3 linked regions of the Oryctolagus cuniculus genome follow. The protein of the gene in region 2 interacts with the protein of the main gene of each other region in a biochemical or structural test. Links are inferred from orthologs where the notes say so. Each region holds a gene or a part of one and is shown on either strand. Other genes may lie near its edges.

The links.
Region 1: the proteins of UBE2D2 (region 2) and TRIM28 form a complex in vitro, tested with the Homo sapiens proteins (2 studies listed by BioGRID). The link is inferred for Oryctolagus cuniculus from reciprocal best matches to the Homo sapiens genes UBE2D2 and TRIM28.
Region 3: the proteins of UBE2D2 (region 2) and RFFL form a complex in vitro, tested with the Homo sapiens proteins (2 studies listed by BioGRID). The link is inferred for Oryctolagus cuniculus from reciprocal best matches to the Homo sapiens genes UBE2D2 and RFFL.

What each region holds. Positions count from the first base shown.
Region 1 is NC_091449.1:95,415-98,840, forward strand, and holds the end of TRIM28 (transcription intermediary factor 1-beta), read right to left. Parts: intron 3,386-3,426; coding exon 3,271-3,385; intron 3,152-3,270; coding exon 3,005-3,151; intron 2,909-3,004; coding exon 2,794-2,908; intron 2,719-2,793; coding exon 2,612-2,718; intron 2,519-2,611; coding exon 2,482-2,518; intron 2,395-2,481; coding exon 2,349-2,394; intron 2,273-2,348; coding exon 2,020-2,272; intron 1,933-2,019; coding exon 1,613-1,932; intron 1,540-1,612; coding exon 1,416-1,539; intron 1,324-1,415; coding exon 1,237-1,323; intron 1,156-1,236; coding exon 1,018-1,155; intron 934-1,017; coding exon 760-933; 3' UTR 571-759; downstream 1-570. UniProt on the Homo sapiens protein: Nuclear corepressor for KRAB domain-containing zinc finger proteins (KRAB-ZFPs).
Region 2 is NC_091437.1:27,308,797-27,312,446, forward strand, and holds part of UBE2D2 (ubiquitin-conjugating enzyme E2 D2), read left to right. Parts: intron 1-2,017; coding exon 2,018-2,111; intron 2,112-3,571; coding exon 3,572-3,617; 3' UTR 3,618-3,650.
Region 3 is NC_091448.1:39,272,492-39,276,141, forward strand, and holds the end of RFFL (E3 ubiquitin-protein ligase rififylin), read left to right. Parts: intron 1-631; coding exon 632-813; 3' UTR 814-3,217; downstream 3,218-3,650.

The sequences.
Region 1 (3,426 bases), on a different chromosome or scaffold from region 2:
GACAAGCCAACCCTACCTTGGAGGCTAAAACCCAGCATGCTGCCACAGCCTCTTACCACCAATACAGCAGTCTTCCTGTAAACACCTTGGTATCTTTTCCTAAGAGGTGTAGTACCAAACACATTTGGCCTAGTAACTTACCCAGCCTCAGAATACCGAACGCACTGTGGTACCCCTGCTGGTAAACAGTAGCTAAAGCCCAAAAAACACCCAGGAAACATGCATGAGGTGTGCAATGCAGCCAACGCTGCAGGTAAGCCCAGATCTACCCACCCACAGGTTGCATAAGGCCCACAGAATCATTTGGTCAATAGCGGGCCAATTTTTGATAATTTTGTAATGGCTTGTAAATGATATAAACATCCCAAAGGCCCTTGACAGAAAACAGGCCTCCCGTCCCTGCTCCTTTTACCCTGTGACCCTCCCAACACCAGGTCCAAGAAAGATGCTCTTCCCAACCACGAGCACCCAGGTGAGTTCAGACTGGGGACAAGGTTAACTGATGGGTTAGGGTTAAGAGATGAAGCAACCAGGCCCCAGGACCATGGTCCCCCACCAGCAAGGCCTGAGGAACTGGTGTAGTTTTTATTAAATCCACAGAAGTAAAAACCATTATCGTGAGGGGCTAGGGAATGGGGCCACCAGGGAGAAGGAATCAGGCCACCAGGGGTGGGGGCGTGGGGGTGGGCAGAGGGTAAAGGATAGAGAACAGAGAGCCACACTGGGCAGGCCACGGCGGGGGGGGGATGGGTCCCAGGCTCAGGGGCCATCACCAGGGCCAGACAGATCCTGGGAACTCAGGCCAGCACCAGGCAGGCTCAGTGGCGGAGGCTCCACCAGCACAGCAGAGAACTTGGTATCACCAAAGGCCTCGTTCATGCGTGTCTCGAAGAAGCGCTGCAGGCCGATGATGGACTGCACGTCCGCCTTGTCCTGGGCCAGGCAAGGGTACAATGAATGGTTGGGTTCTGGCTCTTCACCTCCCTCAACCCCTGCACCCCCATTCCATGAGCTCACCTCAGTCAACTTGTTGAATTGCTTGAACATGCGGCCCACATCCTGGGCAAATTCCTGCGGGGAGCTGTAGGGGGGCGACAACTTCTCCTGGAGACGTGCACGGATCAGTGTCAGGTCCAGGGTGCCACCAGGCTGGTCCTGTAGGAAGACCACACGCGGTTAAGATGAGAAACAACAGTCCCCATCTTTCCAGCCACCCCACCCCTTTATAGGGCTCACCAGGGAGAAGGTAGAGTCAGTAGCCAGCTGATGCAAGGGACGACAGGGTTCGTGGCAGAACAGGGCCAGCAGGACTCGCTCACATTTCTACAGACAGTATATGAGGGAGAATGTCAGCTGCATGGGATGGGAAGGTCACAGTCTCTGGGTAACCACACCCGAGCAGCCGCAGTCCTCACCCGCTGATTGGCTGGCGAGAGCTTCGCCACCACGCCAGTGCTGTCTGCGCCATCCAGGCTGAGGCTGCCATCCTCCTCCTTCAGATCAGGGAGCACATGACAGAGCGAACAGCTCCACTCCTCCCTAGGGTGAAAAGAATGAGGCGCTGCACAGGAACCTGCCCAGCCCTCTGCACCCTGCCCAGCCCCACACGCACCCTGGCACATCCTGCAGGGCAGGCAGGTGGCAATCCAGATGGAAGCAAAACTCGCACTGGTTGCACATGACCAGGTCACCTGGCTTCTGGCAGACACGGCAGATGGTAGCACTATCATCCAGGGTGCCCGGGCCACCAGATGGGGCTGAGGTGCCCTCAGGAGCCACCACCTCCAAGCCTGAGCTGGTGCTGCCACTGGGTGAGGCCAGGCGGGGGCCCTCAGTGCCAGGGCCTTCTGCCAGAGCCATCAGCACAGGCTTGGTCTCCGGGCCCTCAGTGGCAGCAGGAGGTGCTCCAATAGCAGCCTCTGTTTCCTCCTCCTGCAAAGTGGTCAAATGTTCCGTAAGGTACAGACACGAGGGTGACAGGTATCATCCTCCAGCCACAGCCCTTGGGGACACACTCACCTTGACAATAGCCATGCCAGGGAGTGGTGGTGCACCAGGAGTTCCTGGAGGTGCAGTCCCAGGCTGCCCAGCTGCTGCAGCAGCAGCACCACGTTCAATAACGATGAGATTATAGTCCTCAGTGGTGCTGCCTGGAAACACCTTGAAGACAGGCGGCTGGCTATCAGCTGTGAGGTCCAGGTCCAGACGTTCTAGGCTGACCCGTGGCACCTTGCGCATGAGGCCGCTCACCTCACCCTCACCTGAGCGGGACCTGTAAGTGCATACTGGCGTGAGCTCCCTTTACTCTCATTCTTTCCCATCTACCACCACAGAGAACTCACACTCACCGCTTCACACCTGACACATGAGGCTCCGCACTTGAGTAGGGATCATCTGCTCAAGAGATGGAAAAAGACGGATGAACGGCTGATGTGTAGCCAGGGCACTGGGCTCTCCCACCCACCAGGCAGACTCACTCACCTGACCCAAAGCCATAGCTTTCCTGCACCTCCATGGGCTGTACACAGAACAGAGCATGGGGACCTCAGTGGGGCAGGTACAGCATGCGACTCCGTGCACTTCCCCTCCCTGGGTCCATTCCCCCGCTCACCTGGCTACTGCCAGAGCCCTGCTTGCTCAGGGGCCCTGGGGCCCTCGGAGGTGCCATGGGTGCAGGGCCTGTAGAGTTGGTACCAGGACGCTCTGCCACGATCTTGCCTGCAAGAAGAGACTATGTAGGTGTACCATTAGGGTGGCGACAAAGTAGAACAGGGACAAAAAACGGGGACCCACCAAAGGCCTCAGCACTCTTGGTCCAGGCATTGAGGTCCCACTGAAACTTCATCTCGCCATGTGGCTCCACGGGATCCACAATCATCTTGAGGGCCCGGTGCAACTGGAAGTAGATCTGGTGGGGCAAGCGGGAAGGGGCATGAAGCAACATGGGAAATGAACAGGGCTAGAGGGTGTTGGGGTTCCCACCTGTGAACCCACCAACACATACCAGCTTCTTAGAGAGCAACAGGGCTGTGTTGTTGTCACTCTCCAGAGCCCAAGAGGCAAAGCGCAGGATGTGCTCCTGGTGCTTCTGGATCTTAGTCATGGTCCAGTGCTGACGCTCCAGACGCTCCTGCTGACCCTCAGTCACCTTCTGCAGATGGAAAAGGTCAGCAGGGCAGTAAGACAGACACTGGGATCCCTGCCCACTCTGCATGGCACCAGCAGCCAGCAGCGGCTACCCAAGGACCCTCCCACCCACACGAGGATTACCTGGGCGTCGTTGACCAACACACGGCCCCGCTTGTTCAGCTCCTTCATGATCTGCAAGATGGCCATTTTGACATCCACCTGCACACGCTTCTGTACATCAGACACCTGGCGGATCCTAGGAGAAAAGGCAGGTCAGGGCAGGCAGGGTCTCGCCGA
Region 2 (3,650 bases):
CTGTGGCATAGCAAGTTAAAGCCCTGGCCTGTAATGCCAGCATCCCATATGGGCACCAGTTCAAGTCCCAGCTGTTCCACTACCAATCCAGTTCTCTGCTATGGTTTGTGAAAGCAGTAGGAGATGGCCCAGGTCCTTGGGCTCCTGCACCCGTGTGGGAGACCCAGAAGAAGCTCCTGGCTCCTGGCTCCTGGCTTCTGGCTTCATATCAGCCCAGCTCTGGCCATTGTGGCCATCTGGAGAATGAACCAGCAGATGGAAGACCTCTCTCTCTCTCTGCCTGCCTCTGCCTCTGCCTCTGCCTCTGCCTCTGCCTCTGCCTCTGCCTCTGCCTCTGCCTCTGCCTCTGCCTCTGCCTCTCTCCAACTCTGCCTTTCAAATAAATATTAAATAAATCTTTAAAAAAAAAGTTACAGAAAGGCTGAGGATGAGAGAGCGCGCGGGCAAGTGAGCTTCCATCCATTGGTCCACTCCCCCATCCCCACCCCCACCCCCTGCAAATGGCCTCAACCGCAGGAACTGGGCCAGTTGCAAGCCAGGAGCCTTGTGAGTACAGCGGCCCAAGGACTTGGCCATCCTCTGCTACTTTACCAAAGCCCATTAGCAGGGAGCTGTATTGGAAGAGGAGCAGCTGTGACTCAGAAAGGCACTCACGGAATGCAGGCACTACAGATGGCAGTGCTGGCTCCAGCACGGGCCTTTTTTGTTAAAATTTTTTTTTAATTTATTTATTTGAAAGAGTGACAGATCTTCCACCTGCTGGTTTACTCCCCAAATGCCCACAAAAGCCAGGGCTTGGCCAACTCCTTCAGGGTCTCCCACATAGGGGTGGCAGGGATCCAAGTACTTAGATCATCTGTTGCTGCCTTCCCAGGCATATTAGCAGGAATCTGTGTGGGAAGGGAGTAGCTGGGACTCAGACTGACACTGTGATATTTGATGGAGGCACCCCAAGTAGCGGCCTAATCTGCTGTATCACAGTGCCTGATCCAATGGCCTTTATGTTCTTGGCTTAGACTAAATTGTTTTCAACTGAAAACTAAGCAAATCTGTTGTATCTAAAAGTGCTACCTACCATACAGAAAACATTGTTGGATTTTGTGATTATCAGTTTTACCTAAGAGTATACAGTAGTGGGGCTAGATTTGTAATTTTGAAAGCCATTTTTCCCTGAACATGAGCTTCTAAAAATTGAGCTTTCAAAAGTGTTATTGGTTTAATATTTGGAAGACATTATAGTTACTAGTTAAGGACTTTGGACCAGTCACTTCTGTCTAGGCTGGCTTCCTTGGGAGTTTAGTCACACATTTCTTGTCTTTCTCTTTTCTAACTTCATAGAATATAAGACTTTGAACAAAGAGTCTTATATTCTTGTGTGAGTGACCAAGATGTCATTTATCATTTTTTTTTTTTTATTTATTTTTTTTTTTTTTGACAGGCAGAGTGGACAGTGAGAGAGAGAGACAGAGAGAAAGGTCTTCCTTTGCCGTTGGTTCACCCTCCAATGGCCGCCGCGGCCGGCGCGCTGCGGCCGGCGCACCGCGCTGATCCGATGGCAGGAGCCAGGAGCCAGGTGCTTTTCCTGGTCTCCCATGGGGTGCAGGGCCCAAGCACCTGGGCCATCCTCCACTGCACTCCCTGGCCACAGCAGAGGGCTGGCCTGGAAGAGGGGCAACCGGGACAGAATCCGGCGCCCCGACCGGGACTAGAACCCGGTGTGCCGGCGCCGCTAGGCGGAGGATTAGCCTAGTGAGCCGCGGCGCCGGCCTGTCATTTATCATTTACCATTAATTTTGTTCTTTTTGTTTTCATTTTTATTTTTAGGTGACAACTTGAAATCTGTATAAGATTTTAAATTCTTTGTTGACCACTGTTATACAAGCAAGGCAGAATTTATATAGCTGCTAGGCACTAAAGTATAGTAGGTTTTCAGAATTTTCTCAGGTGATGACTTCTCATGTTTCTCTCCACCCTTTGCTTTTATCCTCTACTAATGAATACATTTGTTTCATTCTAGTCCTCTTGTCCATCTGTTCTCTGTTGTGTGATCCCAATCCAGATGATCCTTTAGTGCCTGAGATTGCTCGGATCTACAAAACAGATAGAGAAAAGTAAGTATGGCCTCTAGACAGAAAGTGTACAAAGTGGGATTGAGATGTTTGTCTCAAATCTTTCTTACAAGATTCTTAAAATGAAGTCCTAATAAACTTCCCCACGGACAGGAAAAAGGAATATTTGCACAAGTATCTTTATCAGTGGATGATACTGTTTTTAATCTTGCTTTCATAAGGCTCCTACTATCTAGAAAAACTTTTTTACAGTGTATTCTCCAACAGCTTTATGTTGTATGTTTGGCTTTGGATACATGAAACATTTTGTGTCAAGTGCCCATTTTCTTATGTAGGTATTTGTAAATTAATGGGAAAAGGGAATTGATTTTCTACCATTTGGCATAATCTAAAGGAAAAAAGTAAGTAAATGCCATTAGACATGAAAGCCCACATTTCTTTTAAAAATAAAATGTGACAAACAATTTAGATGTTTTAGAGTCAGACTGAATTATTGAAGAGTGGTCTGGATATCAAAAGAGAGTAACTAAAAGTGTTCTAACCATTTTTGTTATGTATTATTCAGTGAGATTATAAGAAAAACTAGATGGGAGAGGCTGGTAGTTTTTTCTTTTCTTTTTTTTTTTTTTTTAGTTAAAAGAATAGAGAAGTACTTAAATTCTATTGGCTTAGAGAGAGACACCAGTAGGATTTTTCTTTAATGAAGCTACACTTGCAAACGGGGAACTCTAATAGCTATGGGTTCTTAGTTTTTGTTTGTTTTTCTGTATTATCTATTATCCTAATTTTTTCTCTGCCATGTGCTTATTTGGAATAAAATTGTATTATACTTTTTTCTATTTGTGGATTTATTCACAAATGTTTTTTGATTGGAGAACTGTAGTCCAGTGTCTAGAGCTGGGGACTTGAATGGCATTTCCTAATTAATTGTAATAATGTTCCGTAGAACTTTCCTGCATCTCTAAAAAGAGAGGAATTACGGAATGTTTTTCTTCATGTATTTTTCTACTCAAATGTTCTTCTGGAGCAAAATGCCTATTCATTTTGTCAAGCACAAATTGTTGAAATTAAGTTCTGCCAGAACCAGTGTTTTATTGATATAAAGCGAAGTATTACGTCCGTTGGCACATTATTAGTATATGATTTCAAGAACCATATAGTGTAGAATTACATATTTTCAAGAATCTCAAATAATCGAATCAAGAGTTGAACCTATTTCTTAGAAATACATCGATCAAATATATAATATGGTGTATGCCAGCAAATGCTAAAATTAATCAGAATCCTGTAAGTGGCATTTACAGCAAATTGTTTGCATTTTTTAGCTGTGTCCTATATTATTGAATAAGTGCTTATTAAAAATTTGGGATGTAAAAGTGGCTTTGCCTGAGTATTTTGTGGGTTATTCCCCTCACAATACTAGATAAGATAATGAATGAAACCTGTTGTGAACTAATTGACATCTCACTGTTGTTAAGCTAAGCTTCTCTTTGTGTGTACAGGTACAACAGAATAGCTCGGGAATGGACTCAGAAGTATGCGATGTAATTAACGAAATTATTGGATAACCTCTACAAATAA
Region 3 (3,650 bases), on a different chromosome or scaffold from region 2:
CCATTTCCAAACTTTTCTGAACCAATTTTTTTTTTTAAGAATTATTTATTTGAAAGGCAGAGTTGGCAAAGGCAGAGAGAAAGGGGGGAAGAGATCTTCCATCCATTGGTTTTGTGGTATTGTGCCAAATGGGCACAATACCTAAAGATGGGCCAGTCTGAAGCCAGGAGCTTCTTCTGGGTCTCCCCTGTGGGCCATTTGCTACTGCTTTCCCAGGTCATGGCAGAGAGCTGATTCGGAAGTGGAGTAGTCTGGACTTGAACCAGCGTCCACATGGAATGTCAGCAGCACAGGCAGCAGCTTTACCCACTATGCCACAGCGCCGGCCCGTGAACCAGTTTTATCTTACCAACACATTCTGCCTCAGGCGGTAGTGAGCCCTAAGTGCCACTCACTCTCTGTGTAATAGCCTAAATTGTTTCTTCCAAATTTGAGGACTCAAATTTGCCTTAGTCCTCGTGTTCTGGGATTCATTCAGTCCACGAGATGGCACTTTGGCAGGAAGTTTTCTGGGAGAGCTCTACTTGAGGGCTGCCTGTGGACTGGGGAGCTCGGTCAGTGTGCTCTCTCCCACTTCACCTTCAGCCTCTTCACTTTCTCCTCTTCCCTTTCTCTGCTGTGCGTTTTACAGGGGGAGCGGTGCCATCAGGCCTAGAGGAGAACCTGTGTAAGATCTGCATGGACTCACCCATTGACTGTGTTTTGCTGGAGTGTGGCCACATGGTTACCTGTACCAAGTGTGGCAAGCGCATGAATGAATGTCCCATCTGCCGGCAGTATGTGATCCGAGCTGTGCACGTCTTCCGGTCCTGAGGGCTTGCATCGGCTTCTTCAGTGCCTTACAGGGACACAGCCCAGGACGTGGGCCAGGGTTGGCCAGCTCACAGAGGGGCAGGCTGACAGAAGAAAATCTGCAGTGTTCCCAAGACCAGGGCAAGCAAAGATGTCGTGTCACCCCGGGCATCCCGTCTTGCGCCGGGGGTGTACCTCACGGCTGGCTGAGCTCCAGACCAGCGGGAACTGGTACAAATGACACGGTGAGTCCCTGTTTCAGCAGTCTCGGGTTGGTGATGGTAACAGATGAACAGAGGACTTGCCAGAACTTGGACCACGTCTTCTTCCCTTTCTGAGATCCTGGTTTCACCTCCTGTACCGCACCCCCTCCTGGAAATGCTCGCCTGTTTCAGCAGTCAGAAGTCCTGCTAGGAATGGTTGCCTTCTGCCCCAGCACATTTGGGTTTAAATTTCTGGTTTCTGGCTTTCTGTGCTTTAACCTACCTTTGCTGCAGTCTCTTGCTACATTGCCTAAACTCCATTTGTTTCTTTGGACCAAAAATATGTTAGTTTACCAGACCAATAATTGTCCTCAGGACAGAATCTGGACCACTAAACTTACCTCTGGGGAGAAATGAAGCACAAATGCTATAGGAAATGTGAGTTAAAAGTTGCTGAAGTGCTGGGTGGGATTGGAAGCTAGGGGTCCTGACCTGATGCTGCGCGCCAACAAAGCATCTGGCTCGCAAACCTCTGGTCAATCCCAGTGTGTATGAAAGGGATGGTGCACGCCTCTTCTGGGGCCTGACTTTGCACTGCCCATCATGTCAGATGATGAGAGGGGCAGTGTTAGGTGGAGGTGGCAGCTCTCTGCTTCCCTCTGATGTCTGATCCCCCTCGTCCAGCAGGCAGGAATCTCAAACCACTTTGTTAAAGTTCCTGTCTTTCCCGTGGAGTTTTTAAACTTGGTCTCACTGAAAATGAAAGACTCAGGGAGAGCTCTGGTCTCTAGCCACACTTCTCATGCCGTTCTTGGAGACCAGACATGGACGAGCGCCTTGTAGTACAGGGAGGCACTAGATGACGCTGGATTCTGCCCGTGCACAGACAGGTTGGTCGCTCTGGCTGCCTCTCCCAGCCTGCTGATCTGGGACAAGTCGGGGAGGACATGAGTAGGCGAGTCCTCACAGTCCACTGAGGCTGATGGAAGGGCTTCAGAAAAGCTTAAAAGTTGAGCAAAGCACAGCACCTCTGCTAACAGAAGCGCTGTGTGAGCCTCCATCACCAGGGGATGAACTAGGCAAACTACACAGCTGAGGGCCTCGGGAGCCCCCCCCGCCCCCCGCCCGTACCATATACACACCCTGTGCAACCGAGACTGATGAGAACCAGCCGACTCAGAGTGGAAGGCAGTGGGACCCCTCTGAGGGGACCTGTTACACTGGTACATACTCATGCCTGCCCTCCATCAACCACTTACCCCTTTGTGGGGATGAAATGTTGTCATAAAGCAGCTGTCAAACACTAGGCTACTTCCCTTAACATCATAGAGTTCTGGGATACATTGACTCGGCCACAGCCTTGCACATTTTCCCATGAAGGTATCCTCTTTCCCTTATGTTGGACAGTGAATAATGTAGTTTACAATGCCTACCAATTTAGCAAAGGGTCACTTATTCAGCCACTCCTCGATTCTACTGTGAAACAGGTCTATGTATGTGCAACTCAGTTAAGATCTAGCAATAACTTCAGGGCAGAAGCTGGCTCTCTCCCTTATAACTTCCTTTTCCTGCTGAGGCCTTAACTCCCCTACCTCCCAGATACAAGTGGAAGGTAAGATGGGTACTGATAGCTGGGTAATAACCAGTCAGAACTAGGTCACTCATCGTGTAGAAAGAACTTGCCTTTTGATCTTTTATCCTCTACTGGTGAAGGGTCTCGTTTAGGAAAAAAGGTGTCAAACAACTCTGGTTTTTAAATATTTTTTTTGTATTTATTATTATACCAAATAAAAGTTGGGAATTCCAAGATCCCATTCCAGTTAATATCCAACCCAGGTAGAAAACTTTTATTAATTTTTTTTAATCCTTGAATCTTTGATCCTGCCCCTCTTGGATCCTTGGTCTTAATTATTATGGAAACATCTAATTCTTCCAATAATTCCATGGCTTTTGCTGTGACTGCGCTGAGATTTCGGTTGAGACATGAGTGGTTCATGATGCATTGGACTAGTTGGATCCAAATTATTAAGAGTAAGCTGTATAGAAATTAATACTCAATATATATTGTAAAATTTGTTGAAATCTCTTGGATGTGAATGTGTTACTTCAAGTGGCTTATATTAAGAATCTCAGACTGACTTGGGTGTTAAAGCAAACCCAAATATGTATTTTTTTGTTACAGAGCTCAGCTTTATAATTTTGTAATAAAGTGTCAACATAGATGCCTGTCCAATCCTGTGTGAGGGTGATCCCAGAAGTCTGCTGGCTCTGGCCGACAGAATTGACCAATCAGGCAGACCCCAGGCCCTGCATACACGGCCATGCTCTTCAGAGACTGCATTGCTTTTGGAGATGCTTGGCTATGTGGACTTGGTCAAGAGCTCCCTGCTCAGTCTCTTTATGGCCTGCCCAAGATCTCACAGAGAAGTATGTGGGAAAGGCCATGCAACAGCATGTAAGAGTGGGAGCTGATGGGAAGATCAAGTGGGAAGAAGCACCAAGCGAGTTGAGACATTTCCATTGGTCTAGCAGAGATGGGCCTTAAACTCTAGGTAGGAAAGAGTCTGAGGACAGCTACTGTGTCCGGTTTTGTCTGCAGGCTACTCTGAGCTTTTGGATAGCTGTGCTACAGCTGGTGTGTGGCTCAGCTCCAGC